4 linked regions of the Lytechinus pictus genome follow. The protein of the gene in region 1 purifies or fractionates together with the protein of each later gene. This does not show direct contact. Links are inferred from orthologs where the notes say so. Each region holds a gene or a part of one and is shown in the gene's direction. Other genes may lie near its edges. The genes, in order: serine/threonine-protein kinase PLK1-like, TATA element modulatory factor-like, protein regulator of cytokinesis 1-like and RANBP2-like and GRIP domain-containing protein 8.

What was found.
Region 2: the proteins of serine/threonine-protein kinase PLK1-like (region 1) and TATA element modulatory factor-like purify together in Homo sapiens (affinity purification with mass spectrometry; 5 studies listed by BioGRID and IntAct, counting the BioPlex papers as one, with this or other methods). This does not show direct contact. The link is inferred for Lytechinus pictus from reciprocal best matches to the Homo sapiens genes PLK1 and TMF1.
Region 3: the proteins of serine/threonine-protein kinase PLK1-like (region 1) and protein regulator of cytokinesis 1-like purify together in Homo sapiens (affinity purification with western blotting; 4 studies listed by BioGRID and IntAct, with this or other methods). This does not show direct contact. The link is inferred for Lytechinus pictus from reciprocal best matches to the Homo sapiens genes PLK1 and PRC1.
Region 4: the proteins of serine/threonine-protein kinase PLK1-like (region 1) and RANBP2-like and GRIP domain-containing protein 8 purify together in Homo sapiens (affinity purification with mass spectrometry; 3 studies listed by BioGRID and IntAct, with this or other methods). This does not show direct contact. The link is inferred for Lytechinus pictus from reciprocal best matches to the Homo sapiens genes PLK1 and RANBP2.

What each region holds. Positions count from the first base shown.
Region 1 is NC_087250.1:7,529,146-7,537,240, forward strand, and holds the start of serine/threonine-protein kinase PLK1-like, read left to right. Parts: upstream 1-4,936; 5' UTR 4,937-5,043; coding exon 5,044-5,148; intron 5,149-7,352; coding exon 7,353-7,460; intron 7,461-8,095. UniProt on the Homo sapiens protein: Serine/threonine-protein kinase that performs several important functions throughout M phase of the cell cycle, including the regulation of centrosome maturation and spindle assembly, the removal of cohesins from chromosome arms, the inactivation of anaphase-promoting complex/cyclosome (APC/C) inhibitors, and the regulation of mitotic exit and cytokinesis.
Region 2 is NC_087254.1:37,089,769-37,097,731, reverse strand, and holds the start of TATA element modulatory factor-like, read left to right. Parts: upstream 1-4,867; 5' UTR 4,868-5,221; coding exon 5,222-5,489; intron 5,490-7,963. UniProt on the Homo sapiens protein: Potential coactivator of the androgen receptor. Mediates STAT3 degradation. May play critical roles in two RAB6-dependent retrograde transport processes: one from endosomes to the Golgi and the other from the Golgi to the ER.
Region 3 is NC_087256.1:19,309,537-19,317,403, reverse strand, and holds the start of protein regulator of cytokinesis 1-like, read left to right. Parts: upstream 1-4,722; 5' UTR 4,723-4,887; coding exon 4,888-4,904; intron 4,905-6,923; coding exon 6,924-7,179; intron 7,180-7,713; coding exon 7,714-7,867. UniProt on the Homo sapiens protein: Key regulator of cytokinesis that cross-links antiparrallel microtubules at an average distance of 35 nM. Essential for controlling the spatiotemporal formation of the midzone and successful cytokinesis.
Region 4 is NC_087260.1:25,314,729-25,322,510, forward strand, and holds the start of RANBP2-like and GRIP domain-containing protein 8, read left to right. Parts: upstream 1-4,659; 5' UTR 4,660-4,781; coding exon 4,782-4,862; intron 4,863-7,782. UniProt on the Homo sapiens protein: E3 SUMO-protein ligase which facilitates SUMO1 and SUMO2 conjugation by UBE2I. Involved in transport factor (Ran-GTP, karyopherin)-mediated protein import via the F-G repeat-containing domain which acts as a docking site for substrates.

The sequences.
Region 1 (8,095 bases):
CGACGGAAAATTGTAGCGAACTAGTTCGCTATTTTTCGGATCTTCTTTATAAAATTTTATACACGAGGAGGAATTGTAGTGAACTAGTTCGCTATTTTTCTAATCTTTATATATACAAGAGACGGAATTGTAGCGAACTAGTTCGCTACAATTCCCCCTCGTGTATATAATTTTATAGAGGAGATCCGAAAAGTAGCGAACTAGTTCGCTATTTTTCTGATCTTTATATATACAAGAGACGGAATTGTAGCGAACGAGTTCGCTACAATTCCCCCTCGTGTATATAATTTTATAGAGGAGATCCGAAAAGTAGCGAACTAGTTCGCTACAAAGCCCGTCGTATGGATATAGAGGAGATCTGGAAAATAGCGAACTAGTCTGCTACAATTTGACAATATGGCATCAATATATACAGCCAAAACCTGCAGATTTTCACTTTGAAGCCTTCACAATAATGTAAGCTTTGGAAAAAATGACAACTAGTTCGCTACAATTTCCCCCTCGTGTATATGAAGAGATCAGAAAAATTGCCATCTAGTTCGCTACAGTTTGCCATGTTTATATTTTAGAGAGGAGATGAGAAATGGCGAACAAGTTTGCAACAATTTCCTGTCGTATACATGTAGAGGAGATCCGAAAAATAGCGAACTACATGTAGTTTGCTACAATTCCCCCCTGGTGTATATATAGAGGAGATCCAAAAAAATAGCGAACTAGTTCGCTACAATGCCCCCTCATATATAGTTCGCTACAAATCCCGTCGTATGTATATAGAGGAGATCTGGAAAAATAAAAAAATAGCGAACTAGTTCGCTACAATTCCCCCTCGTGTACATATCGAGGAGATCCGAAAAATAGCGAACTAGTTCGCTACAAATCCCGTAGTATGTATATAGAGGAGATCTGGAAAATAGCGAACTAGTTCGCTACAATTCCCCTCGTGTATATATCGAGGAGATCCGAAAAATAGCGAACTAGTTCGCTACAATTTCCCGTCGTTTGTATATAGAGGAGATCTGGAAAATAGCGAACTAGTTCGCTACAATTCCCCCTCGTATATATATATATATATATATAGAGGAGATCTGGAAATAGCGAACTAGTTCGCTACAATTTGACACGTCGTATATTATAGACTAATACAAGGAGATGGCTACAAATTTCGACGCTTATATATAAGCGTTGAAGATCGCTATATTTGCCATCTTATTATTTCCCTTACGCTTGAATTTGAATTTAAGACTTACGCTTGATTTGCAATTGAACATAAGTTTCTTGCAGTGCCCCATAATTATGTTTTGTTATCAGATATTTAACGTGCTGATTTTTCTCGAAAGGTATAATATATTTGTCCTTTTAAACGGTATTTGAATATGGGTACGCCTTTTATTTGTTTTCCACAATATTTATTGCATGTATGAACAGAAGTGAAATATTTATTGTGAAGCACTGTGAATGTTGTGTGATGGTTCATCATTTTTGTTATAAGACTGAAAGCCTGGTGGATGTGAGGAAGTGGCCTGGATGAAAGAAAAGTGAACATGTGTCCAATTACTGATTTGCATATTCTAAGACAATTTTGTTTCTGGATAAATTTTGCTATGCATTCCCTACATTAAGAGTAAAGGAGAAGTCCACGCAATCAAAAATTCATTTGAATTTAAAGAAAAATAACAAGATATTGCAGGAAATTTCATAAAAACTTTGATTCAAATTTATATAATTACTATTTTAACAGTTCCGTAAATATAACCTATTGTGATCAGATGAAGAGTTTCTATCGTCAAATCTGCAAAGAATAAAAAACAAAATGCCACAAAAATAGAAACGAATGTGATGTGAGTGACAACTCTAATTTGCATATCATTGTTTTGTGTATATGACTGTTTTGAGTAAAAACAACAAGGGAAATTACTCTATTCAAATAATTTTTAGTTGATGTGGACTTGACTTTTAACTCTACCCCTCCCATCCCAAATAAGAGTAGAAATAATCTAATCAAGAACTTGAAAATCAAAAGCAGCAATTAAGAAGCAAGATATGATAAATACAGGTCTGAATAGAATTTCACAAGAAAATAAAAAGAGAAAAAAAAAATGGGTAGGGACAGGGAAGGAATAAAAAAAAAATACCCAGAAAAAAAAAACGAGTTTCGAACCAGGGTCCTCGCACATGACAAAACAATGGCCAACGCATTTGGCCACAGACCATCTCCCTAACAGGAAGGCATTTTTAAGATATATAAAAGAAAGTCCGCTCGCCGCTGTTTCCTAATAATGCTTCGGCAATTCAACTGCAATTTCAGTCATTTCGCGATGGATATTGCCGTGTTTTTTTTTGTGGTTCCTGACTTTGCTACTTAATGAAATTTCATAATTTTTGTTCAGTCATAAAGAAGAATGTCTATGCTTTATATTGACTATAACATTAATGTGACGCAAGTGTGATTTCTACGTGAAAATATGCTTTGTTTATTCACATATATTTCTTGAAAAAAAAAAAAATTCTAAGCTAAATATCGGTTACCAAAATACGTTAAATGTGCACTTTTTTTCACTGTTCAGTAAATTCAAACTTTTATCTATATAACAAGACCAATCTTAAGAGGAATAAACAATTCTAAGAGCAAAAAACGCTGATTGGAAAGATCGTCTCCAATGGGCTGCTGTCAGCTCAGCTGCACACTGCTCATTGTGTGACGTCACTCAGCTGGAGCTCGCAAGAGGACCGGTGGAAGGCAGAAATATGGCATGAAAATAAATCATTTTTGAGAGCTGATTTCTGCAATCTCTGATCACTATTTTGAAAAGTGAAGTTATATATCTGATTAGTAATACTTCCCCTTTACAATGATGACCACATAAAGTCATTATAAAATACTTTTGATTCTTTGGATGTATACTTTAAGAAAATGGGAATGTTGGGAGGAGTTTAGGGAGAGCTAAATGTGCCAAAAACAAAAACAAAATGAAAATAAATGAATAAAATAAATTAATTAATTAAAAGTATAAAATGAATAAATGATAAATAAGTTAAAAATAAAATAAGAATAAATAACGTGTGTATAAATTATATAATAACGATAATGAATAAAGTATTTTTTCAATGAATGCTTAGGCATGAGAGTATTTTTCATTAATATATATATGTACATATATATTTTTTTTTTCATTCTTACCATTCAGAGAAGGAAAACGTTTTTTCCGCCCCCACACGAGTAGAACGGGAAGGTTGTGACGACGAAGGGCATGGGAGGGGGGTTATGGGGAGGGGTAGAGGGTAGGGCCTGAGGCTGATGTTGTTATAGGATATGAAATATATGAGGAATGAGGCCAAGGTGTGGGGAGGGGGGTTATGGAAAATCCTTGTTAATGGCTTTAATTCGACTAGGTTGTATTAATGATTGGTTTTGTGTATTTGGAAAATCTGTTACGTTGTGAATATTTTGACACAAGAAAAAAAATCGAGTACGTTGAGTTTTATTAGGTTTTATTGTAACACTAAAGGAAAAAAGAGAAAATTTAAAGTGTATATGAGTTTACAATGTATTCATATATTAATTTGTAAAGATATATTGTATTTGATGTATGTATTTTATTTTGTATATGACATGTATGAATTGAAGTTGTTGACAAATAAAAACTTCTTAATACAAAAAAAAAACCACCACTCGAATAAGAAGACTGTCGTTATATTGTAAATATCATCCGCTAACGTAGAACTAGAAAACAAAATCGGTTAGCTCTAGTGCAACGAGCCACGAGTCTGATAGTGATACACAAAAAATTGTATCTTCGGCGACGTGCATGAAATATGTTTTTATTACGACTGGTACCGAAGTCTATAGTCTGACCATTGATTGATTGGTTGAGCGTGAGCGCGCGCGTCACAGTATGGGTCAAAAAGTTGTTTTTCTTCGCTAGATAATCGTCCATTCGTCCTGTTGTCCAATTCAGAATTCCTTGGAGAATCTTTCATTTGCAGTTGTGTGATATTAAAATTAGGAAACTGAATATGGTGATAGCGAACCTGTGAAGATCGTTTCAATTACCATCTTGCGAATAACGTCCTTTAGTGTGTATAGTCCGTACGTACATGCACAGGATATACGTCCTTAACCGACCAATCAGAGAATGGCTAACGTGCTGTCTTTAACGGGACGTTAGCGAGCCGTCTGTGTACGAGGAGAAATAAAAAAAATAAAAAAAGTTAAAAAACTCCTCGAAACAGACGGCTGCCAGCTGTCTATAGGATACACTGCCATACTGACACTACTGATTACTGTGTCTGTACATGTCCATCTACGATACACACAGAGACACTGCACTCACGCACTGCCACTGGCATCCAATCCTACTCCACAACCACACACTACGACTACGTCAGACTCTGACCGCGCTGACATTTACTACTCTTCTTGGGGGCAACAGAACAAGGAGAACATCAGAATACCTGATACTCATATTATTCAATGTCATACATGTTTCATACCTTCACTCCAAGCTTTATTTCTCGGGTCAAAAGACAATTTCTGTCGCCGTCGCGGCTCCGCAAGCATCGCCATCTTGTCGGTGCACGTGGATCAACTAAAAATATGTAAATAAATCTAGCTTCTTTATCAGACTGTCTGAATAATAGAAAAATAATTATTATTTGTTTTTTTAATTGTTTTTTATTATAAATGGTATCAAATAAGAACAGATATATTTATCAATCGTAATTATGAAATTCCTTTATACTTTACAAAGAAATATACATAAATAAATATTTAGAAAATGACCCTAAATGCCTTGTACCATATTTAAATTTATGAACAACTCGGTTTAAATGTCCGTACCTTCGTCCAATCAGAGCAGAGTATTTGCGAAAGCGGAGATCTTCATCGGCCAATGAACGACCACTATTCATTGAATACCGGCCCGCTGTTTTTAAATGCACAAAAGATCGTCAGAAACAGGCGATCGCAGCTGACTTGATCGACGCATTGAAATTGTCTGCAGTTTTTTGGACAAATTTTGAAATATTTTGGCTTAAAATATTAAGATGGCGTCAAGACATAAGGAAGATCTCAGAGTAAAGGAAGTTCCTGATGTTGTTACAGATCCATCAACTGGAAAAACATACACAAAAGGAAGATTTTTGGGCAAGGTAACTCGTGAGCTTTTTTTTTTTCATTTTCAGTTAGTGTTGAGTCGTGTTGCCTGTTGAGCTGTGTGTGTGTGAATAGTAAAGTGACCTGCAGCTGCACTGCACTGTGCACAGCCACAGTGCCAGTGGAGTGTGAGGTTTTGCGTCATTTGAATGGAGTCAGGAAATTGTGTTGAAATTTAATGGATTATCAAAATAGTGGAGGTATCAGTTAAAAGAGAAGAAAGAGAGGGGGCACATATCTGCGTACCGCAAGGTTAAACGAAATAAAAAGTTAGTTAACCCGAGTGAAATGAGGCAAAAATTAACATTTATTTTAGAAAACTCCACAAAAATTTTGGTTGATATACTTTTTTAAACCAGGCCAAGACAAGTTTATAATTAAACTTGTTACTGTTAGGGGGATTGGAATTTGGAACAACTCAACCTCGCCTCCGCCTCCAAAACGGGGCTGAGCTGGATCTCATTCTCAGTTTCTCACCTGTTTCGTGAAGACGTGATTTTTTTCTTCATAATTTTGTGTTCATTTATCTTCATTACGATATTTCTTGAAAGTTGAAACAATTGTTCAAGCAAGGAATCAGCCGGATCATCCGCCCGGATGGTACTGTAATTCTTTCTATCTTGACTAACTTTGTTAGAATGTTCAGTATTAGAAGGTCTGTTTTCATTGAAATAACAAAACAAGATCTAGAAATAGAATCATACTGTTTTTTTGCAAAAAAATATTAGAATTGGAACAAATTATGATTTTCTTGCAAAAAAATGTGGAAAGTCATTTTCAGATTAAACTAAAAAAAAAAGTGATCAATGCCCAAATATGAGACCATGATCATGACTTATACATCACACTACATAATTAGCATGTTAGATTTCGATCAATTAAGATTTTATTCACTCTATCGACCCCCTCTCGGGTACTATGAGGTATGACTATGAGAGTACAGCATATGGATATTATGGGTCAATTCATATCAAATCAACAAATTTTCAGACAATTTGTCACCCGACCCCCTCCGATCTTCAAACTTGTGCCAGGAGTAGCTGCTCCTCTGTGACTTATTCCATCACAAAATTGAAACTTTAAATAAAAAATTGTAAAGAATGCTTTGGTTGATTTTCATGAAAGCCTCACCAATATTTCTTTTTTTCAAATGATTGTCAGGGTGAACTTCCCTTTTTAAAAGTGATCTACATCACATGTATCTAACAAGACAAACAACCCACCTGGCCACTTCCATTAACTAGTGGATTTTATAGGCAAAAAACTTCTCTTTTGTAACTCATGTCATCAGTCGTTCAGCTGATATTTTCAAAATAAATCCCCTGTCCATAGCCCAAGTACAACACATTAAACAACACATACCTAAATGTTCTTTTATAGTTATACATTTTGGCTTACAATAGTTACATGTAATTTGCCGAAATTCCCCCCACCGCATGCGGAGTAGGCCTTGGAATTATAGGTCTTTAGAACCACAGGTCCATGGTGGAACATAAGGGGGGGGGGATATTTTACAACTGTTGAGTTCCTAGATTTATATTTCTCCCTCATTGTCAATGTGGGCCACAGTGTAAAGATGTTAACTTGCCCAATGCCCCAATCCATACCCTACTAAAAATACCCCAAAAAAAATAATAGATGTGTTCTGAGGAAAATCCATCAAAGATTAAGAAAGTCATTATATTTTTTTTTTATTTGTGACATATGATCTCAGCTGCCCCAATACAAAATACATAAATTTCAATTTTTTTAACGGTTCATGATGACTTCAACTTCTTTTTTTTTTTTTTCTTTCAGAAGCAGGTGTTAAATGATTTGTATGTTGATATACTAAAGGACTCTAATCAGGGGTGTGAGAGTTCAGATTTTTATCTGATTTTAGATTTTTTTTTTTTTTTTTGATTTTCAGCTTAATTTCAGCTTATTTTTTGCCTTCCTCTGTACAAAAAGTATGGGAGCTCTTTCTATTTCAGACTTTTTCAATACTCTTCAGCTTTTTTCAGATCTTTTTATTTGTGACCACTCACACCCCTGTCTAATTTAAACCATTTTCAATTCTTTTAAGAAAATGACATTTCATTGATTTTTTTTACTACAAGATGTACATGTACAGTGTAGGCTAAGATAGCTGTTACCCCTTTCAAATGCACCTGTGGCTGTACTGAGCCATTACATTATTTTTTTCTTTGTGTCTATACAGGGTGGTTTCGCTAAGTGTTATGAGCTGACTGATGATGCCTCCAAACAGATCTACGCTGGCAAGGTCGTCTCGAAAGCCCTTCTTGTCAAACCTCACCAAAAAGACAAGGTACTATATATCATGTTACACTTTTTTTTTACACAGGGATTACCGGTAAATGCTGATTCTTGCTGAAGTAGCTTTTTTTTTTTTTTTTTGGATTTTGTGTTTATTGAATCGACAATATTTTTGAAATGTACATAAAATTGAATACAATTCGACACAAACAACCATGGAAAAAATAGGGGAAAAAAAGGAAAAAGAAAAAATGCTATATGGTTAGCAGGTTATTCCCTTCAAATTTGGTAGCAAGTCATTCCCTGGTTTGTATAAACTTCATGTTATTTGTCAGATTCAGATATAACTTAGCATTTATACCTAATATACTGTCTTTATTTCTCTTTCAAAAAAAAGAGAGAAATAATAGACAGCATTTAGGAATTTGGGGGTAAAATTGGAGTTGCATGTACCTGTACTGTATTTAACACTGACTATGGTATGTGTGCATTCCTGCACCCTGTATACAGCAGGGCCCCGTCTTACAAAGAGTTACGATTGATCTAATCAATCGTAACTCTATGGAAATCCATCAGTGTCATAATTTTTTCTACAGGAAAGGTGCACAATGTCCTTTGTAAACAAAGAGAAGCATAATGAATTTTCAAGACAACGATGAATCAGAATGCATGAATATACATCATAGT
Region 2 (7,963 bases), on another chromosome or scaffold:
GCCTTTGGAAAGTTGATTCATGATTTTGCCCCCCAAATCTTAAAAAAGGATCGACGCCCCTGTGTATATATATAGATACATATATATTTTAAAAAAACTTGTATCTCTATTAATATAAAAAAGTATTGGCCTCATCGCAATAAAAGGGTTAATACACGAGATTTTGAAATCGCACATAACATGCATAATTTCTGTTACTTTTTGCTTGTTTCTTTCTTTAATAAGTTTTTCAATCTCTCTCTATACAGGGGCCGCGGAACCGGGGGGGCTGGGGGGGCTTCAGCCCCCCCACTTTTTTCAAAAACCGTGTACAAAAACGTAAAAATAACCATATTATTGTGATTTTTAGCATGGTCAGCCCCCCCCCCCCACTTTTGGCTCAGCCCCCCCACTTTGAAAACCGTTCCGCGGCCCCTGCTATATATGTTTTAGAAAGATTATATGTTTAAATTGATGTATATTTCTGTTATAATGAGATATGTTTAAGTGGACTTCAGGGAATGGTCGTACGCAGCAAGGGGGAAGGAGGGGAGGGGGGCACATTCGCGATCTGCTGTTGTGAAAAACATTTTTTTTTCCTTAACATTTCATGAAAACTATGAAAAATGTGCAAATGTGAGATGTGCACCAAATTTTCGAGTCTTGCCCCCCCCCCCCCGGAAATATTATCTGCGTGTGGTCATGCAAAATGACTGGAAATCCTACATTTTGAAAAGAGCATTTGACAGGGTCAGACTTTACCCCTTTTTTAACATTTTCTTTTATGGCACCGGTGAAGTGCAAAAATATGTGTGCCGCTCGGCAGTGCGCCCCCCCCCCCTTCGCCAAAAGCTGGATCCGCCTATGTTACTAATATCGTTTGTAAAATATCTCGGGCAATAGGTTGTGTAAGGCGGATTAAGCACTTACTGTCCTTTGATATCATGAAGAAGCTGTACTTTTCTACACTCTTAAAAATGTTGGGCAACATACGGTCCACACAACAATTGGTTAAAACTTTATCCAATTCTGGGTAGTTTTACACCAATACTGTGTAGTTTTCACCCAAAGCACACATTATTGGTGTAAAACTACCCAGAATTGGATAAAGTTTTAACCAATTGTTGTGTGGACCGTATGTTGCCCAACATTTTTAAGAGTGTATGATTTTACCTTACATTGATTACTGTATTACATCTTGGGGAAGCAGTGCAAAAATACATTTAGATAAGATACAAAAACTTCAAAATAAATATGCCAGAATGCTTTTGAAAAAAGATTATAATACATCACAAATTTCTTTGTTGCAGTCACTGAAGTGGCAATCAGTAGATCAGCGTATAAAATATCAGAATTGTGTTCTTGTATATAAAATGATGAATGATTTAGTTCCAAATTATTTAAAACCTTTAGTATGTAAACGGCCCGTGAAATACAGGACACGGTATTCTTTACGGTGCCCCCTTCAGCTTCCCAAAGCTAGAATTGAACATAAAAGAAAATCTTTCGCATATGTCGGACCCAAATTATTTAATGCACTTCCTTCAAATTTACAAGTTTGTACCTCCTTGTTAGTTTTTAAAAAAATATGCAAAGCCTTTCATACGAATTGATAAAGAGCGAAATGATATTGATTTGATTGATTGATTGACAACGAATTTATTCATTCCAAAATTTCGACAAAGTTACAAAGTAAAGCAAAATATAATATAACATTTTGAAATGAAATAGGAACCTTCTGGAAAGCAAAGCTTGTTATTGAAGGTTTCCTTTAATAAATAAGACTTAATGCAATATTCCATTGATTTACAATGCTATGTATGTTTAAATTGTCACTTCCCACTCTATATTTTGGTGTTAATTGTTTCTGATGTTAGATATTTTGTATTTTGTATTTTTGATGTTGTTTGTTGTTGTTGTAGTTGTTCATAGTTATATTGACATGTATTTTAAACTGCAGGGCGCCTTTGTAAAGCAGTTTTAAGAACTGAACAGGCCTACCCTGCAGTATAAAATAAATAAAACAAAATAAATAAATAAATAAATAAATAATAAGTAGCTAGGCATTAAGGCGCCTTAAGGCCAAGGCCGTGCATCAAGGCACTACAACACTGATTAGTACTAGGCATTAATTAGACAGGTCCATATTTGAGGTAAAGTTAATGCGCTAGCCTAAGCTAGCCCTACCCTTGCACATGTCTTGCCATTAATGGCAGCTAGTTTATTAAGTGTTTAAGAATTGGATATATATATATATATATATAGATCTAAGCCTATAAGACCTATGTAACTATACCCCCATCTCACTAGATGGCGATTCCACTGCGATCGTCAAAAAGCGACAAAGCGTGGAATAACGTAGCTTAATCGTGGCTTGATCTTTTCAATCTTATCCGTCGTACCTTCATCTTTTCTGAAGCGGCAAGGATCGCCACCATCTTCCTGGACGCCACAAAATTTTGAACATGTTCAAAACTTACGTAGCGAGATCACGGAGGTGCTAAAGCGCATCACAATCGAGTCATGAGCGTATTACAAACGACATATTCGTAGCTGTAACGGAGCCCCAACGCATAAAGCGTAGTATAAGCGCATTAAAAGCGGCACCGATCGCCCGTGGTTTTCAGGCCCGTTCCCAAGACAATTCTGCTACGCTGCTTCCGTTTACAAGGCGACTGCCTTGCGCTCGACACGCTTCACACAGCTTCAACCGCGACGCTTTCTTCTTTGGGTGGCATGTGGCACACGTTCTCAGTCCGCTACAGGCATTCGCGTTGCGCTTTTGCTGCGCCGCTGATGACTGGGCAGCGATTGCGCAACGACCGTCCGCGCTGCTATAAAATGCCGTGCCGATGGTGGCAGATTATCATATTTGCAGCAGATTACGAGGCGACACCACGACGTTTTCAAACATACCTCCCAGAAAAAGGACCAAAATAGGGAAAGCTGCCAAAGCTACCCCTCTTAGGCCGGCGGTCGAAGAGGAAGAACAAGGGGTTATGGTGGTGGTAGAGGAGGAGGAGGAGGTAGAGGAGGAAGAGGAGGAGGAGGGGGTACAGGAGGAGGATGAAAATCTTACTGCTGAGCCAACTGGAAAGAGAAAAAAAGACGCTCACATGTCTTGATGACGAAATGGGTTACCTCTGCAGAAATATATAAGTTGACTATATGTTTTAAAACTAGATTGAATTCTAACCACAGTGACAGTAGACAATATCAAATTTGTTAATGATTCGATCACTAATGTATTGATTGGGAAAGGCAATCTTTAGGGAGATTCTGGCATTGTGCCCCCCCCCCTCCTCCCCCCTCCCTTTTTTATGAGTGCTCTCACATCAGTAGACTACTTCTTGTCAGCAAATTTGAAAGGAATTTACCAAATATTTTTGAGTGACAAACTTTTGTGGAAAAAAAAATAAACAGAATATCAAAGATTTTTATGCTCTTTTATGAAATTCTGGATGCATCCCTCATATTAACTATTTGGCTCATCGACATCTTTTGAATGAAAATTTAATAAATATTGTATATTATGACTTAGGTGACAGCCAGGATCGGACCCTGTATCTTTTTGGCCTCCTCCTTCTCCTGTCCTCGCATTCAACTTTTAACTGATGTTGTTGTAGAATGCTAAGATGTATAAGTCCAACCAAATTCTGGACATCCATGTTGGTCGGAGGTTGGCAGTCGACTGAAAAATGTGTCATGTGCCGCGATTAATATGCCGATTACTTGAAATCGTTTCAAGAGCCCATCATGAACGTAACATAATCGCTCCATTCGTAGCACCACCGTACCGAGGTCCTAATTAGCGTATGAGACTCGTTGTACGATCGCTTTGATCGCAGAAGCAGCGCATCACATCTGCCTCGAATCGTCGCAAGAAAGTGCATCGTCGTACTTTCAGCGTATTACCATCGCCTTCAGCGCAGGTCGGTCGCAGAGAAGTTGCAGTGCAATCGTCTCGCAGGCTAAAAATAGAATTCGAGGAAGATTCTGCTACGATTTGCGGGATTTACACAGATCGCTATGGTCGCTATGATCGCCTTCCTAGTGAGATGGGGTAAATTCATTCTGAGCAACGTGAATGCTTACGATCGGTACTGGTCGAGGCCAAGTCCACTGCGCATGCGTACTCTCAATCCGAAGACGCAAGTCATGAATATTCATATGTTGGTCCAGAACTCGATAAGTAAGTCTATACACCAAGTGGTATAGACTATCCGATAATTCACCTACCCGACTACACTGTTATATCGCTTTGGAGACTGAATTCATCATTTAAGATATGTAATTAGTATCTGGGGCAATTTTTGAAACTGAGAAAAAAATGCAAAAGAAAACCGATTTCCCCAGGTGAGGTTTGAACTCACAACCTCCGCATGCCCACAGTTGTAGCCAGACGGTGCTGGGTACTGTCTATAAGTACAGCGCGCTAACCTATTGCGCCACTGGGGACGGTTGGCGAGAGGAGAGCAATTAAAGAGATATTGGCAGAGGTAGCGCATTATCTTTACTCGAGGTCATAATTCAGTATTACTTCGGTTGATTCTTGTGAATAATTGTTAAAAATAATTGAATGACACAATAAAAGCCCTCTCGGTAATGATTTTTCGCTGTGATGAAACGAACCACTTCTCAGAAACTAAACCGGTTTTTCATTTATTTCAAATTGGCATCAAGCTTATCCCTAAAACTATGTAACCGATTTGACTGCATTTGTGCAATATAATCATATATTAAATATATTTGTGTACTCTAAAATCAATCTGAAAATTAATTGAAATTCATTGAATTCATCATAAAGTAACAAAATAAAATATAACATATATTTAAACTCTTTGTCAATATTTTTTGAATTGATCCGTTTGAAAAATGTCAATTTGATAAGATGAATCCATTAGATTGAGGGACATTATATTAACGTATAAATGAGGGAAAGTAAACGGATTAAGAGAACTTTCATTTATTCCTTGTGCGTTTATAAACCAATAATTAACAAATAATATGATATATAATAATTGCTGGACAAGCTAGTAAAGTATTACATGAACTTAGCTATTCTGAATATGTTTTATTTTTCCAATCTTCATCGATCTTCGAAACGGGCTGACCCTTTATATAATAGATTGTTCACACGAAAATCAATGTTTACGTGTCGACAGCGAGAAAAATAAAGGAAAGTCATCGAAAACAGAGGAAATTACTCCAATTAATGAAGTAAGGGGCTTGGGGATGAAACATGAGCTGGTTTAACCAAGCTAGTCTCTCATCTTTTGCTAAAACAGCATTGTCGACGGCGCAAAAATCCATTGACAAAGTTCTCGACATTCAGGATGAGGAAGGCGGTGACACCGGCAGTGGCACTCAGCCTGCCCGGAGCTCCGCGGGAACTGACCGACAGCCATCGCTGTCAACTTCAGGTATTGCCTCGGGCTCGGCTTCGGCGAGTTTGTCAGGGGAAGGATACTCATCTCCAGTCCCAGGGCAGCAAGTTACCTCAGGCTCAGGTAATTATCTTTGGCAATATCGTGAAATAAGTCAGCAGTCCATTAACTGCAAATTCAACGTTTGTTTGTGCGCAGTAAGGCGCTGGTCCAAAAATTGGGATTGTCCCACTCAATGACGAAGCTGGACATGCTGGACGCCAAATTAAACCTGAAACTTTCAACCCCGAGATTTCTACTTTCCTTCTAAAACTAGATCTAGCCCTAAAACTAAATCATGTACATGGGATAAAACTTCATTTCCGACATTTCTACGCTCTCGTTGTTATTTTTAAACAGGAATTAATAAAAAAAATGAGAAAAATATTGTGAAAAAACGGAAGAGACTTGCCCGATGTTTACGCCGCCATCTTGTTTCCTATTGTTCTTCGCCAACGTTACAGACGCGTGCGTTGCATGAATCACACAGAGTCGATCCGAATGATTTTCGGTCGACTAGCACTCGCAGTCCAGACTCGCACACACCAGCCCCGTCCGCAGCCCCATACACCCACTCTCCCCGAAACGACAGGCGTGCTTGCCAGCGCCAGCAAACAAGTGCGAACAGAGGAGAGCGCTGTAACTTTCCTGAGATTATGTAGTTGGCGGGCTAGTTGGATCCAAAATGAGTTCCAAATAAATTGATGGGAATAAATACGTAATTTTCTCTGGATGGTCATTTGAATTGGTATTCAATGCTGATATAACGATTGTGAGGAAATATTGTGGAATATGAGTTATGACGATGTTCGAGAATTAATCCTGATAATCCATTCTTCATTTTAAAGTCAGACACAAGAGCATGCGATCAAAATAAATACAAATGTCTCGGATCGAGCTCTAAATTCATATAAATTATTATTGGATGTTAAATAATTACTATTTTATTTAATAAGATTTTTATGGCCATATTAAAAATAATGACGATGTCAGCAAGTATGTTATGTTCATATGGAAGAATTAATAGTATTATACTGGCATTATCTTTATTTTTATTCCATCTCTGGACGACGTCTTCGAGCTCCGAGAAAAGAAGCACAATGCGCATGCGCGTTCGATGACGTATGACATATTTTCCATTCATGAAATCAGAGCCCAAAGTTGGGCACAAAATAGCTTCAAATTGATGGGGAAAAATATCAAACGCAATTTTCTCTGTTTTGTCATGTAAAATGTTATTATATGGTGATATTACGATCTTGAAAAGAGTATCTGCATGTTGACAATGTTCGAGAATCAATCCTGACGTGATAATTATTTTTTTAGACAAGTGCACGACTCAAGTCGATCGTCATGTGATGTCCGTCATTGGAAATTGATAGGAAATTAAAACGTTTCACATCAAGCTCTAAATTCATATTAATGATTATCATATGCGAATTATTGTTAATTATTACGATTAAATTGTGTTCTATGGTCATGATATTAATATTGTTCATGAAAGCAAGATTTATTTTACGTTGATCGCGCCAATTTTCCGGCCATTTTCTGGTTTGATTAAAGCACAGTACTGCGCATGCACGATCAATGGCGACTTCCATTCATGAATTCATCGTGCATAAATTATCTCGGCAAGAGCAGACGAGTATAAGACTCAAACTATGATCGAAATAAATTTCAAATTAATGGTGAATATACGGTAGGCATCATAATTACACAATCGGTTTCATTTTGGGGGCAATATAAATCAAGTAAGTAGTAGTCAAGTACATGTAGGACATTACTGTTATTTTGATTTTTGATGATTGATTGTGTGAACCACACGAATCGGCCGATTGACGTTTTTTTTTTTTTTTTTTTCAATGCACCGATTTTGCAAAATCTGCACCGGCGCTCGATGACATCGATCGAACACCGATTTTAAAATCGATTCGACTCAGGCTTAAACATAACATCCACCGCTAGGGGTTGGCATATTACATGACATCACACAGCTACGATTGGAAGCCAGTTTATGAATGAAAATATATGCGCATCTAAACCAATAAATAGGTCTATTTCTGTCAGAGATATGCTCCGCTGAGACTTCGTTTGGCACCGCGGCATCCCCTCTGTCAATAGACCGATGACTGCCATTGGGCTTGTAATGTTGGAGCAAACAACAACTTCCGCTTAACTACAGTGCCTATGTAGAAAGGGTGCGTTAGGGTTAGGGTTAGAATAATAAAGATAAATATAGCTTACCAGCTTTCCGAAAAATATGCTAGAAAATAGCGAAATTTTATGACAAACAGATCAGGGTCAGCCAGGTTCGCTCGATCCAGCCAGCCAATCTGCTGGTGCGTACGTAGGCTCAGCTGTAGCTGACTATGATGAGTGTGATCATATAAAACATCCTAAATTCCCCCCCCCCCCCCGCCGGGTTTCAGACGACGCGACAGACAGACTCCTAATGATTGTAGACTAATGTTAGAATGTTTAGGCCTATAGATCCACTCCAAACATTCAATACTAACCTGATGAAGTGTTCCTCCAAGATCTGAGCTATTCCAATGTCT
Region 3 (7,867 bases), on another chromosome or scaffold:
GTTTTTAAGAATTGCGCATTCAAAAGAATTTGGCATTTTTAGACCGCACAAGATTACTACAATGAGTTTAAACCTCTATTACTCAGTCAAAATACATGAAAAAGTCATCAAATTTCGCAAGAGAGTTAATAATTGTATCGTTAGAATGGATAATCTATTTATAGTGCTATTTGTTTGCAAATTTAAGTTTAACAGCACTGTCAGTTCTTAAAAATGGCGTAAAAGATAACAAAATCCCAATCTAAAAAATGTAAAATTTCAGTAACAAACTACAAACGTACAATAAATGCTGCACTTTATTCAAAATCCATGTCATTTTCACCAAAATTTGCAGAGTTGTAGAGGAAGGTATACCTTAGAGGTACAAACATTAAAAAATAGGGGTTCATGTGCTTGTTTTTAAACTATCAGCATTTTTATCAGAGCAAATGTGCTTTTTAAAACACCAAAAATGCGCCGAATGCTTTTATTTTTTTTTTTTTTTTATTTATTTCAAATATTTAAAAGAAGGGTAGCTCAATCAGCAACAAGCTGGTTTTCGTTGAGGCCCTTCGTGAACAAACACAAATATAAAACATGGTAACATATTCAATTATAAACAAAGAATAGAGCATAAATACTAATATTGAAAAAAAAAATGAAATGAAATAAGCATAATTAACTATGGAAAATAACAGAACAAATAAAATATGATACTGTACAGATGTTACCTAAAACTAAACGAAAACATTATATACACATGAAAAGAGATAAAATATGTACAAAATGAGGAGAAAGAATAAAATAGATTCCACCATTAGTCCCTATTACATATTAAAGGTTTTTTCCCATTTAGCCATTTCCCGTTTGAACTGTTTAATGTTTTCTATGAATCGGAGGTGTTCGGGTAGTTTATTCCAATGTAATGGGCCTGTGACAAAAAATGATTTCTGATAAAAGGTTGTACGAGCATATGGCACCCTGATTATCATCTTATTTGTGCTTCTAGTTGTTCGGGAGGATATTTTCTCTATATAAATAAACTTATCACAAAGCACCTGGGGAGCAGCTTCGTGTAAACATTTATGAACCATTAAGCGAGATGCTCTAAAAAAGACATTGCGTATTTTGGGCCAGGATAATATTTTGAAAATTTGTTCAGATGGAGTTTCCCAAGAGAAGTTAGATACCATGTATGCTGCCCTCTTATGTAATCTCTCTAACTTACTGTGATTAATTTCAGATCTTTCCGACCAGACGGTACAGCAATACATTATATGGGGCATTACAAAAGCCCAATACAGCTTATTCAATTGTGCTTTATCAAAATACTGTTTACAGCGGCGAATAGTTCCTAGTTTTTGTTTTACAATTAAAGATATGCTGTCAACGTGTTTTTTAAAGTCGAGATTGTTATCTATGATAACTCCTAAACATTTATATTCATTTACACATTCCAATTGACATCCATTTAACACTATCGATAGCATAGTATCTATGTGAAGAAAAAATCAAAACCACTCTACCATTTATTCAAACTCGGGGTAATATTCGTGATTCTTGGCAGCCCTGCAGAGTAAAGTATTTTGAAATTGTAGAGAATATTTTTTTGAATGGTCCATGGAATAATTCAATTTTTTATCTTCATGAAATAACGCATCGGATCTGCAGTTAAAGTGCAGAAGATGAGAAAAATCAGCTCATACCCGCAGCTAATTAATCACCTGTTCATCCATTGTGACGTCAGCGCGCAGAGTGTAAACTATGCGCAGATCATAATGCGCACAAACATAACTGTGGAACGTCCTTAATGCAGTTTTTAAAAAGTTCCTTTTCTGGTCAGTTTATTAAATTCTTTAGTTAGATTCACATCCTTTTTTCATGATTACACAAACTGCTCGGATGTTTTACATAAAATTTCCAAAAGTTTAAGCTCGTGATTCGCGCTCGCAGCATCTCGCAAGGATGCCCTTTAGGTAAGTAATTAGGTCCACAATTGACCACAAAAAAATTCACCCACATTTTCCCCGATCAGCCGCTCAAAGTTGATTTTAATTTGTTTCTTTAAAGGGGGTAGTCCTAATAGTCACCTCTTAGCTATATTCTTATAAAACTACATAAATATATCTAATATGATTTTTTTTGGCAATTTCATGTATTTTGTCCTGAAAATTGAACATTCTGGACAATGTTTGTGATTCTGAACAAGATATGTATATAATTACTGCGAGCCTGATCGAAAAAGGACTATTTGCAGTTAGCCATGAAGACGATGCATATTTCAACAATCAAATAATGCGAGCGCGAAGCGCGAGCTGAATTTTGTTGACATTCGACCTAAAGAACGGACATTCTAAGCACTTTTGGCAGTCGTAAACAGGATAGGTATATAACTAAACATTGCGAGCGCGAAGCGCGAGCGGAAAAAAATGAGATTTGGACCTAAAAACGGGCCACTCTATTCATGTTTTATGAATCATGAAAAGGATGTGTTAATTGGGTAATGATCTTCCCTCATTAATAATGCGCGTGCGAAGCGTGAGCAGGATTTTTTTTGATATTTTGATATGAAACTGGGTAATTTAAGCATGTTTTAAATAAAGAACCAGCTGCGTATCTCAATAAACATGCGTTCGCGTGTTGTAGATTTAGACCTAGAATCTGGGCATTTTGAATACATTTTTTATCATGAAAATATTTGATATATCCGATATTTCTTTCTGAAAAAGGGACAATTTAATTATGAATTAATGAAAATGTTATTATCTTATTCCTTGATCTAATAAGCCCAATGAAAGCGCGAAATCTGATGACATTAAGGCCTAAAAACTGGACATTTTAAGCACTTTTGTAATTATGAACATGATGCATGGTTTAATATATTTTTAACAATTAATGCGAGCGCAAATCGCGAGCCGAAATTTTTGAAAAACTCTCATGAAAATAGGATTTTAAGTATAGTTTGTTATAAAATTACTACAGATGTATACAATATACGCATGCACCAATCAAAATGCGAGCACGCAGCGCTAGCTGGTTTTGACAATCAAACCTTAAAAGGGCTATTTTTTATAACTTCATGGAATACATGAAGTGAATAGGTACTTGGCAAACCAAATAGTGCTAGCGCACAGCGCGAGCTGAAAAAGTTGATACTCAGACAATAAAACGGACATTTTACAGAGCACTTTTTGAAAATCAATTTGTAAAAAAAAAATGAAAGGTCGATGTCCGAGCTGAAATATGTTTTATATATTGACTTCAAAACTTGATATTTTAAACTCCATACCAGCCTATAGTATTGAGCAAGGTATGTACCGTGTGTCTCATCGAGCATGCAATGACAACGCGAAGCGCGAGCGAAAATTTTATATAGTGACAATGAAAGATTTTTTTTTTTTTTTTCAAGTTTCCCCCTCACATTATTTTATTTACTCGCCTTCCTCCTCTTTTTTTTTCATTTCTTTTTTTTCTCCTCTCTTTTCCCTTCTTTCTCTTTTCTTTTTCTTTCTTTCCCCTTTTTTTTGCTCCGCAAAGTTTGTGAATATTTGGGAGCCAGCGCCTCTGAAGTTTTTTTTTTTTTTTTTTTTTTTTTACAGATAAATGGCACTATATGGTATATGCAAATGCTGTTAAACATCATCACCATCATCAAATCAATTTTGTACAGCAAACTGTGAAAACACCACTAATAAAATTATGTTTGGTAAAGTGACCGGATAATTATCATTTGAGATATGAAATTTTACTTTGTCAGCTCGACACGTACACTTGTGTATACATGTATATAGACAAAAGTTGTTTGTTGTTGCTGTTATTTGTTTTATTGTTACGAAACAGTTACTTTACGCGCCACAGTGAGTAAGAGATGAAAAAAGAGGAAAAATAAGAGGAAAAAAGGCAAAGAAAAGAGAAGAAATAATAAGATAAAAATGAGAGTAAATGTAATTCTATAATAAAAATTAATAATACCCCTACATCTCAACAAAAAAATCATGATGTCATATTTAAGCCACTTTGCCCCCTCCTCCAATAAAAATATCCAAAATATGAGAAATAAAACATAAATGTAAAATAAATCGCATTATATACCGGAGGGTCTCAAAATAATAATTAAGATAGATAGACCCGTTGGACCATGGCCAATATTAATAATGTCATCTATAAATAATATTAAACCTCGCTTTTGTTCTCATAAAAATTGTTATTTTTTATACTTTCATCAGTTTATCAGAAATTTCCAAATCATGCTAAAATTGTTGTTCAAGAATGGGGGTTGGATTGGGGTTTGATCCGGGGCAGTGGCGTACCTAGAATTTTTCACAGGGGGGGTAAAATTGGCCGCCCAAAAATTTGACAAGCAAAAAAAAAAAAAAAAAAAAAAAAAAAAAAAGGGGTCATCAATACAAAATAAAGATTTTCGTACCAGAAAAAATTTGACAAGCAAAAAAAAAAAAAAAAAAAAAAAAAAAAAAAAAAAAAAAAGGGGTCATCAATACAAAATAAAGATTTTCGTACCAGAAAAAATTTGACAAGCAAAAAAAAAAAAAAAGAAAAAAAAAGGTCTTCAAAATCTCGTCAGGGGGGGCAGAGTGCCCCCCCTGCCCCCCCCGTAGGTACGCTAGTGATCCGGGGTTTGATTTCTTTCTGATAAGTAGTTTACATCAATGAGGCCCATTTCAAATTCGATGACAGATCGTGACAGACATCGTTTGGAGTCTAGCGCCATCTCGTGAACTAACTGTGTCAATTTTTCATTTTGACCAATAGACGGGCTTCTTGTTTGCGAGCTTTTCAAAATTTAAAGCACGTCGCGAATCTACATGGAACTGGAAGTGTGTATTGATTGTGAAACAGCTGATTTATAAACGTCATAAACTGTGATACACATTGAAATATTTATCAAATATGGAAGCAAAACGGAGGTATGATTTATTTATCTATTTATATTACAAATTGATCGGCCAAAACTTAATTGGACTTGGAGTGTTTATTTTTTTCCAGTGTTGACGTTGTGTGCAGTGCCGTGAGTGACAGTGCGAGTGTGTGCATGCATGCCATTGCGTTGTGCACTGTGTCTGTGACTGTGTTGCGAATTGCCTAGACTGTAGTAGTGTAACGTTAGACAGCTGGCAGCCGTCTATTTCGAGGAGTTTTTTAACATTTTTATTTTTTGTAAATTTGTCCTCGACCTCGTACACAGACGGCTCGCTATCGTGCAGCCACCATTAGGGGGTTAACATAAAAATGCAAAATCCCCCCGACGGGCAGACGGGGCTCATCGATTTTTGTCTTTAATTAAAGTTTAAAATATTTCATAAAAATATATAACCTATACTACCCAGTGGTTGTGTGTCCGGACGGGTTGGGTGTCCGGACACATGACTTTTACTCTCAATTTTGAAAAGCTTACAAGCAATGTCTTTAATTCTTTTTAGCACAGAATATTAGAAAATATTATAAAGAACAAATATTGATGGTGAAAAAAAACTATTCAACCTATATTTTTGGTTTATTCTTGAGATAAAAACAAGGCTTCATTTCTGTTACGTGTCCGGACACCCAACCCCCCATCCTACCGTAAATAATTAAAAAGAACTGTACCAAAAAGGGCAAAATAGAAAATAAACTTAAAAGGGAAAAAACAGTGACTTACTTCGACTGTCGCGCAACTTCACTTCCCTGTTTTATCCAAACTTAATATATTTATAAACATATGGCCATTGTCATTGAGTCCCTGTACACATGACATGGGATGGGCGGAAATCCCAGGTAGGTATATAGTGAGACCACCACATATCGAGTCTCGACCACCTGACAAACAGATCATCAGGATCAGCCAGGTTCTTCTTTGATCGCAGTCAGCACAGCTACAGCTGAGCGTATGATTATAATGAATCTGCCAGCCAATCTGCTGGCACGTCCACACGCTCAGCTGTAGCTGACGGCGATCGAAGCAGAACCTGGCTGATCCCGATCTGTTTGCTATCAAAATTCGCTATTTCCCATCCCAGCACATTTTTCAGAAAGGTGATAAGCTGATTGTATAAATGTTTTTATCAAATAAGAAATTAAAAATTATCTAAAGGGTTCCTCTAAGTACAAATTCTGTTCAAATTTGATAAATTTCATCCTATTCAATTTGATGGACAAAATTGTAAAAGTTGGAACTTCTAGATAATACATGAGATACAAACAATAAACTTTAAATGAACAACAAATTCAATAATAATTTAACAATAAATAACAATGGAGAAAAAAAATAGCAATTAGATCTAAATAAAAATGTTAAACATTAAATGAACTTGTAAACAAGCAGGACAAACTGCGATGCGAAACCATGCAGGAATAAAATAAAACTTGAAAAAGTATTCTGCTCATTTTGACAAAATGATTATTGAAAACTTATCTTCTTTTCACAAAATGCTAGGCAATAAAGTTATTTTGGAACCACAAGAAAAATAAGGTGATGTTCATATTATGCTAGCATCTTGGGTTTTTTCATGGAAAGCAGTTGCATGATCATTTGGCAGATCGGCAAGCCAGACATTTGAAACCATGATGTGTTTAACATAAATATGAGTTTTTGTAGTTACTATATTTCCTGATGGGCTATTTTGTCTTGATAAGATTGCTATTTCACTTTGAAAACATTATTTCATGCATTGTTTGAACTTTGAAAATATGTCAGATAAGTATAGGACTTCAAATACCGGTAGTCAATATACATGAATACAGTTGCCCAGCTCATGCATGTAACAATAGCTCATATTTTGTCGCTTGACACCAACACCTAAAGTTTAATATCGAACTTGAAATCGCCCAGAATGCTTGTTGCTGTTGCTTATGTTGTTCCAACACAAAATCCTTCCTCTTCTCCCCTTTTCCTCTTTCCTTCTTCCTCTCCTCTTTTTTTTTATTTTCCCTATTCTTTTCTAACATAGGGAGAGCATGAAGATGGAGATAGGCCAGTGTTTAGAGCACGCCCTAGACAAACTGAGAGATATCTGGAATGAGATCGGTATTTGTGAGGACCAGAGGGTAGAACGCCAGAATGTTGTTCTGCATCACATCCGTAACCTGCTATCAGAGATGGTGACAGAGGAGGAATCCCTCAGGCAAAGACTCATGAAGAGTGTGGCATCATCAACAGAGAAGGTCCACACGCTTTGTATAGAATTGGCACTTCAGCAATATGAGGTAAAAAATATTTATTAACTGATGAAATGGTATAGCAAGTTAGCAACACAAATGTGAGTCTGATTTTAGTTTTATTTGCTAGATTGATTTGAAAGTGGTATGATTCTTTTTTATGATTCTTTTTTATTAATTTCATTTTCATGATATGATCATTCAACAAAATCTTCATTTTATCACAATGAGATAGTGTAATGAAAATGTTACTCTTCCTTTGAGAAGTCTAACATTGTTCGTACATTATTCAAGGTAAATGAGTGACATAATCGACTAAATTGTCTTCCATGTTACATGTATTCAGATCACTGATTAAAATAATGGAACTGAAATTGAAAAGATGTAATAAACATTGAACAATCAATTCCTAAGTAATTTTTTTTTTCATTGTTGTGCACTTATTCTTTTTTGTCTTTAATTTTCAATGTCATATAAGAATGGACATAGCCTTTGAGACTTCCTAACACTACCAGTAAATCGATTTTTATTACCAAGATTGTTTTTTTGTCACTTTTGTTAATCTTGGTTTCTCTCCTTCAGCCCGAGAGCGGGATCTCCATCCTGCAGCTGGAGAAAGCATTGAGACTCCAGGTGGAGCAGCTGAGCAAGGAGAAATCAGATAGACTGGGTTCCCTGGAGGGCCTGCAGACGGTTGAACAGAACCTCTGCGACACCCTTTGTACCACACCGTATT
Region 4 (7,782 bases), on another chromosome or scaffold:
TTGAAAAGCAGAAAAAAAAGTTTTCACTGCAAAGTAGAGGTAATTTTGGTCCCGAGAAATTTGAAAAGCAAAGAAGGTTTTCACTTCAAAATGTATAAAAGATGAAGGTGATTTTTGTTACATATATCCCTTTTTTCACACCTTTGAGAGTTCAAGGGTGCTGCCGATGGACGCAGCACCCCCGCTTCCCAGGGCCATGATAACGAGTAAACATCATTATAGAATTAAAGTTTGTAGATCCTAGTTAGTTTAAAAGTGGAAGTGAAAGTTGTTAGGAAACACATAAAGATTTTCTTATCCCGAACATTTTTACATGGATATCAATATTGAAATTGGCATTTTAGCGAAGTTAGATTCAGTTAGATTTAAGTTGAATTAAGAATGCTCGTCTTATTGATTGTCCTGGTTATATTCTCTTAATCTTGTGTTTTTCTCTAATTTTTAAAGAATTTATTGGATGAGGTTAAATATTCAAAATCGACTACGGTAATTCAGTCAACCTTTTTTTTACTCTGCATGGCAGTCCAGTGGATGTATTTTTTTTTTGGGGGGGGATGATAATGATAATGAGACAAAATACATAGTTATTTAAAACACACATGTCCGCATTGCAAACACACTCAAACACACCCACACATATGCACACACACACATTCGCCAGCAGTGTATCTTTGATTGGCCATGGGTGCATGGGGTGAAAAATTTAGGGGGCCCGAATTTCTGTCTAAATGTTAGTGACATCCCCTCTCCCAAAAAAATAATAATAAATAGATAAACAAAAAAATCTCCTCTCACGAGGAGCATTTTATCCGTACAAGATTTTCAGACAAATAAGAAAAGTCTTTCACAACCATGCAAAATGTCGCAGTTTATGTGCAACTTTCATACTAATCTCTGATCGAATATGTTTTATTTTCTTTCCAGCCATGTTATAATTAGACTCCCTTTTTGGATATTTTGACGAGCACCCTCATTCAATACCCCCCCCCCCCTCCCGCGTATGTTATACAAAAAAAGTTTATTGATATAAAATCCTGACATTGAAGGATCATCATCAAAAACAAAGAAACATAAGAAAAAAATTAATACAACATAAGCATAACATAGTAACAAAGTATTCATAGCAAAACAAAAAACAACAACAAAGAAAAAAAAGAAACAAAAAATACCAATCTTCGATGAAATGTTAAATGCGAGATACATATCAATGCATAAATATACACACACATACATAATATACCTAAACATTAATACACCCATATACAATAAGCATAGTATCATCTTTTTTCTTTCAAGCATCCTTAGTTTCTCCACTTATATGACTTATTCCTTTAACACATATTTTGCTAATATCCATGTCAGTGGCGGACCCTGACCCGGAGGAGACAAAGCATTGGAGGGGCACAGCATTGTTCACAAACAATACAGTGCCCCTCCAATACTTTGTCTCCTCCGGGTCAGGGTCCGCCACTGATCCATGTCATTGCTACCTAATATCAATTGGAATTTGTTTTGTTAGTTATTTTCATAAAATCCGGCAGTACCTCCTTTCATAGGCGGCGGAAGTGGGGGGACGTGTACCCCCCCCCCTAAATTTGAGGTGGGGGCGGTCCCCCCCCCCCTCCCTAAATTTTTCGTTGATGATTTTTTTTTTTTTTTTTTTTGCTTGTCAAAATTTTTTGTCGGTCCCCCCTAAAATTTTGGTTGATATATAACTTTTTTTTTTTTGCTTGTCAAAAATTTTTGGTGGTCCCCCCTAAATTGTTTGGCTTCCGCCGCCAATGCCTCCTTTAGCTTGTTTAACTTGGTATTGTTGTATCCAGTAGTGGTTTGATGGGTGCCTATTTTAGCCTATTATAAAAATAAAATATAAGCCTAGTTGAGTAGGTTTTTCTCTCTCTTTATTCCGGGGGGGGGGGGGCATGGGTGATGAGCTGGGTCATTGAGTAGTAGTTGGTACTATAAGTATAATGTAAAGATATTTTTTTAAACAAGTGCACACCAAGTTACCAACAATGCATATAGCATTTCTATTTATTTGAAAGCAGGATAGAAGAGCATTGTACATTAAATGCCTTGCTCACGGGCATAGGTGCCGCGGCCGGGGATCGAACCCCGGACTTTCTATGTATAACCAGGAGCCTGAGACCACTCGGCCACGGCACCATGACGTGAAAATATGAAGAAAGGATAAGTTCCCGAACCTCACCCCCTCGATCTTCCATGGCCCTCTCTGGAACTGAGCGAACGGTGCCGGGAGTGCTTCGTACGTGTTATAGGGAGCAGTGACCCCTGGAAATTTGTTAGGCATGCAGCTATGTAATCAAAATCACCTCTATTTTGTAATGATTTTTTTTCTTTTTTGCTTGTCAAACTTTTCCTGGATCACTAGACCTGCTGAGCTCACCTTCATTTTGTAGCGAAATTTCTCGTGATCGACCATGCAAAATGGCATGGCCCTTGGAAGCGGGGGTGCTGGGGATGCCGCTAAAACATAACTTCCTCAGGGGTGCTGCGTGTATTATTTTCCATAGGCTTGGCCCCAAAGTGTTCTGGAAGCTGTGTAAAAATTGAGAAATGTCACCTAAATGACTTTCATTTTTTATTGAAACCTTTTTTTTTCTTCTTTAATTGCTTTTGAAATTTCTCGGGACCAATTTGACCTCTCTTTTGTGGTGAATTCCTTTTCTGTTCTTCTTTTTTTCCCTGCTTCTCTAATCTCGGGACCAATTTGCTCTCCATTATGTATTCAAAACCTTTTTTTTTTTGCTTATAAAATGATTTACACACCAGCACCCCAGTAAAAAAAAATTAAAAATCATTCCAAATGGCCTTCATTTTATAATGAGAACCCCTTTTGGAACTAGTCAAAGCTTATCCTGCACCCCCTGTTTAAAAAAAAAAAAATCGTTTTTAGGGCCATAGGCGGCGGAAGCGGGGGGGGGGGCGGGAGGGACATGTCCCCCCTAAAATTTTAGTTGATAACCTTTTTTTTTTTTTTTTTTTTGTTTGTCAAATTTTGTTGTTGGTCCCCCCCCCTAAAATTTTGGTTGATAACCTTCTTTTTTGTTTGCTTGTCAAAAAATGTGCTGGTCCCCCCTAATTTTTGGGGCTTCCGCCGCCATTGTCTAGGGCCCTGCCCTCTCCACAGAGGTGTGCCACTCGATCCCCTCCAGTGGCGTAGCTACGGGGGGCCTGGGGGGGCACGTGCCCCCCCCCCTGAGATTTGGTGTGCCCCCCAGGTGCCCCCCCTGAAAAAATTGGCAGAGCAAAAAAAAGGGGGAGAAAGAAGAAAAGAAAAAAGGAAAAGAAGAAGAAAGACAGAAGAAAAAAAGAAAAGGAAAATAAAAAGGAGGAAGACGAGTGAATGAAATAATGTGAAGGGAAGACTTGCAAAAAAAAAAAAAAATCTTTCATGTTACTATATAAAACTTTTGCTTACGCTTCGCGCCAGAATTGCCTGTTCGATGAGATTCATATCTTGCTCAATAGGCTGATATGGAGCAAGTTTTGAAGTCAATATACATGTACAAAATATATTTTAGCTCGGACATCGAGCTTTCATCAATTTTTTTTCATGAACAAATTTAAGTGCTCTAGCTGTAAAATGTCCCTGTTTTAGTCTACATATCAGCATTTTTTAGCTCACGCTGCGTGGTCAAATTGTTTGATTTGCCAAGTTCCTATTGTCTACGTGTATTCCATAATGTTCCATTAAACAAAATGTATTCAGACTGCCCAGATTCTAGGTCTAAATCTAAATCATGTGCGATAGCCTGCATGTTCTTTATATTAAATGTACTTAAATTATCCAGTTTCACATCAGAATATCAATAATTGTATGCTCACGCTTCACGATCGCATTAAATAATGATACCCAATTAACTACATCCTATTTATGATTTACAAAATATGAATAGAGTGTCCCGCTTTTAGGTCTAAAATCTAATTTTTCTTCCTCTCGCGCTTCGTGCTCGCATCAATTGTTTAGTTACATACCTATCCCATTTATTAATACAAAAAGTGCTTAGAATGACCACTTTTTATGTCGGAATGTCAAAAAAATTTGCTCGCGCTTCGCGCTCGCATTATTGAAATATATACCGTCTTCGTGGGTAACTGTAAGCAGTCCTTAACAGGTCCCTTTTCGATAATGCTAGAACAGTTAATAAAAATTTCTGCTCGCGCTTGGCGTTCGATCGCAGTAACCATCTAGTTACATACGAATCTTGTTCACGGATCACACATAACATTGCCCAGAATCATTTTCAGGACGAAATACATGAAAGTAACACCAAAAAAAATCGCTCGCGCTTCGCGCTTGCACTTTTTATAAGGCTTATGAGATTATTTCATGTTTATGTTCTTTTATAAAAATAAAACTAAGTGACTGATCGGGGGAAATATAGGTGAAGATAATTTCGGGCCCCGTCCCCTATTGGCCAAAGTCGGATCCGCCCTTGTGACACATACACACACAACGGAAAAAATGGTGCCCCCCTGAAAAAGCAAGGACCCCCCAGTGCCCCCCCCCCCCTGGGAAAAATCCTAGCTACGCCACTGATCCCCTCCCCTGGGCCTTTCATCTCACGGTGAATTATGAAGTTTCGGCAGCTACTCGCAGAATTAACCGTCTGATTTGAATTAATTCTTAAAGATACCATAACATTTAAGATTGAAGCGCACCGGTTTGAAAAGGTCACATCCGCCGTTTGGTTTCTTTTCAAATGTGAAATTTTACAGCGATTATATCGTTTTATTGTCGCATCTAATCAACAGATATGTCTCGAACATATCGCAGCAAACATGAGGCTGACGAATTTGCCGAATCTGTAAAGAAAAGAGCAAAAAATTCACAAGAGGTAAGAGGGTATTCGCGTTATTTCATCATAACGTGATTTTGTATTGTAATTGAAAATGGTAGTCCCATTCATGTATTTTCATGTTTGTGTGCAAGATGCCAGTTACATCTGAGTCTGAGAAAGATCCACCCACGGCACGGGTACATTACCGCCGCCGTGCACAGGATAACCACTGGCACGGCACTTGCAATAAGTTTATTAATTTTTTTCTAAAAATTTGAAATAGATAGGGCCTACCTATTTAAAATAAGATAAGCTTTGAAGTTTGGATATGAAACCAAACGATATGAAGCCAATTTCATTTCCTCTCTGACTCTGTCTTTCTGGTACTAGGCACTTCAGTCGGGCGGGCGACCACGCGGACACAGCGCTAGACGTAGATTTTTGCATTGCAGTGAATGGCGAGCGCCTATCTAACACACACAGTTCGCTCCGCTCGGCACTTTGGCCGAGCGCTGGAGTTGCATTCGGCATTGCTCGAAAAGACAGAGTCAGTTTCTTCCTTTATTCCGCTGATTTTGATTGGTCAAAAATTCCCGCGGTTGCTTCGTACATCTTCGGTAAACATCGGAAATATACAAGACGGAGTCTAACTTACCTTCATGCGAGGGAAGGACCTAATATTCAGGTATTTATTTTTCTTTGCTTGAAATCACCTTGTAATCATCGGATCCCTTGTAAACTCGGTCAGTAATAAAATTGTATATTTGAGAACATTTTGTGAAATTCTAATCAAATTGAGCTTCAGTTTTGAGTGTCATGAGGTGTTTGTGAATCTGACTCGGCCGATCGAGCAGGGTTGTTTTGAGCGTATACGAACAGCTGTGAGTGACGTCATCCCCACTGCGTTGGGCCTGAGATTAGTCTTGGTATTCAGACACAGTATGTTTCAGCCGTTGTATATTTTTTTAAATTACGATTTGAGCTCTGTTAATTATGAAAATCAAATTGTTATTTTGAAAATAATTTTGTAGAATTCGTGTGAAATAAGTATTAAGAGCAAAACTGCAAGTAAACTTCAAGAATTTTGTTTGATATGTGATTTTTTGTTGGAATGCGTCTGAATGTCTAGAATATGGTATTGTTAATGAAAGTCGTATTTTTGAATGGCACAGAAAGCTCCTTGCATGAATTTAATTTAGAAATAGGTTTACATACATGAGATGTGTTTCATGAATTTGATATCTGATTTATGGACCTTTGTTATGGTGTTAATTATTAATTTGAAGATATTATGAAAAAGTAAGAGAAGACAATAATGAGGCAATTAACAGTGATGATGAGACATTAATAATATGAGACAATAAACATTGAGACAATTATAATAATTATTATGATTATAATAATAACAATTATAATTATAATGATAATAATTATAATTGTAATAATTATTGAGACATCAATTCTAGTATTTATTGACAATAATAATTATTACAGTAATCATTATTATAATAAAATAATTGTAATAACAATTATAATGATGTACTTTGAATTGTAATAATTACTGAGACAATAATATTAATGAGATATCAATAATAATCATTATAATAATAATCATTATAATTAAAATAAATATAATTGTAGAAACAATTATAATTATAGTAATTATAATTATAGGCCTTATAATTAATGAGACAATAATAACTATTATTACAATAATACTAATTATTATAAAATAATTATGATAACAATTATAATGAAAGTAATTATAATTGTAATAATTACTGAGACAGTAATATTGAAAGGTCATCAATAATTATTATTATAAAAATTATTATGATTATAAAAATAATCATAATTATAATTAAAGGCCTTATAATTATTGAGACAAATAACTATTATTACAATAATTATAAAATAATTATAATGATAATAATTATAATGAAAGTAATTGTACTTGTAATAATTACTGAGACAGTAATATTGATAAGTCATCAATAATTATTATTATAAAAATTATTATAATTATAATTATAATCATAAAAATAATAATTATAATTATAGGCCTTATAATTATTGAGACTAATAATTATTTCAATAATAATTATTATTATGAAATAATTAAACAATAATTACTATGATAGTAATTATAATTGTAATAATTATTTAGAAAATAATATTAATGAAACAAAAATAATTATAATAATAATTATTATAATTATAATACTAATTGGGACAATAATGAAACGATGATGAGACAATAATAATATCAACAATTTTATTGAGACCATAATAACAAGACAATAATGAGATAATAGACAATTGAAATCAATCTGTTTTTATTTTTTTCTAGAAATCCTAAGATTATTATTTTAATTCTCTTTCTTTGATTACAAATTATATTCATTGAAAACTTAATTTCTAATGTTCAAGCAAAGAAAATCAATATCAAGTCATGTTTACCCTGTGCACAAACCTACCACAGGGCAATTACCCCCGAAATAGGGTTAGGTTAGGTGTAGATTTTTGGATAGGGGTAAAGTGTAGTTGTCCGGGGGGGGGGGGTAATTGTCCAGGGTGGGTGGGGGTGGGGGGAGGGAAATTGTCCGAGGGTGGGGGGGGTGGGGGGTTATCGTCCAGGGGTAGTTGCCCTTGAACCAAAGAAATCATATGCCAATATGTCAAATCAATCTGAGTACTTTAAGATTTAAATAAAAAGCTTGTACAATTCCCCATAAGCTATGTATTATAAATGTGCCATGCCCAAAACAAAGAGAATAATAAGATTTCGCAATCTTCTTTTGTCCACAAAAAGGCCTGTTTTTTCATCACAAAGATGACAATAACTCGACTTCTAGATATCGGAATTTGAAAATTCAAACAGTTTTGTGAATCGTAGATATTGAGCCTCATTGTGAGCCCATCAAATATGCTGGAACAGCCTTTCCTAATTTTCACCTGAAGTGCCTACTGGTACTTT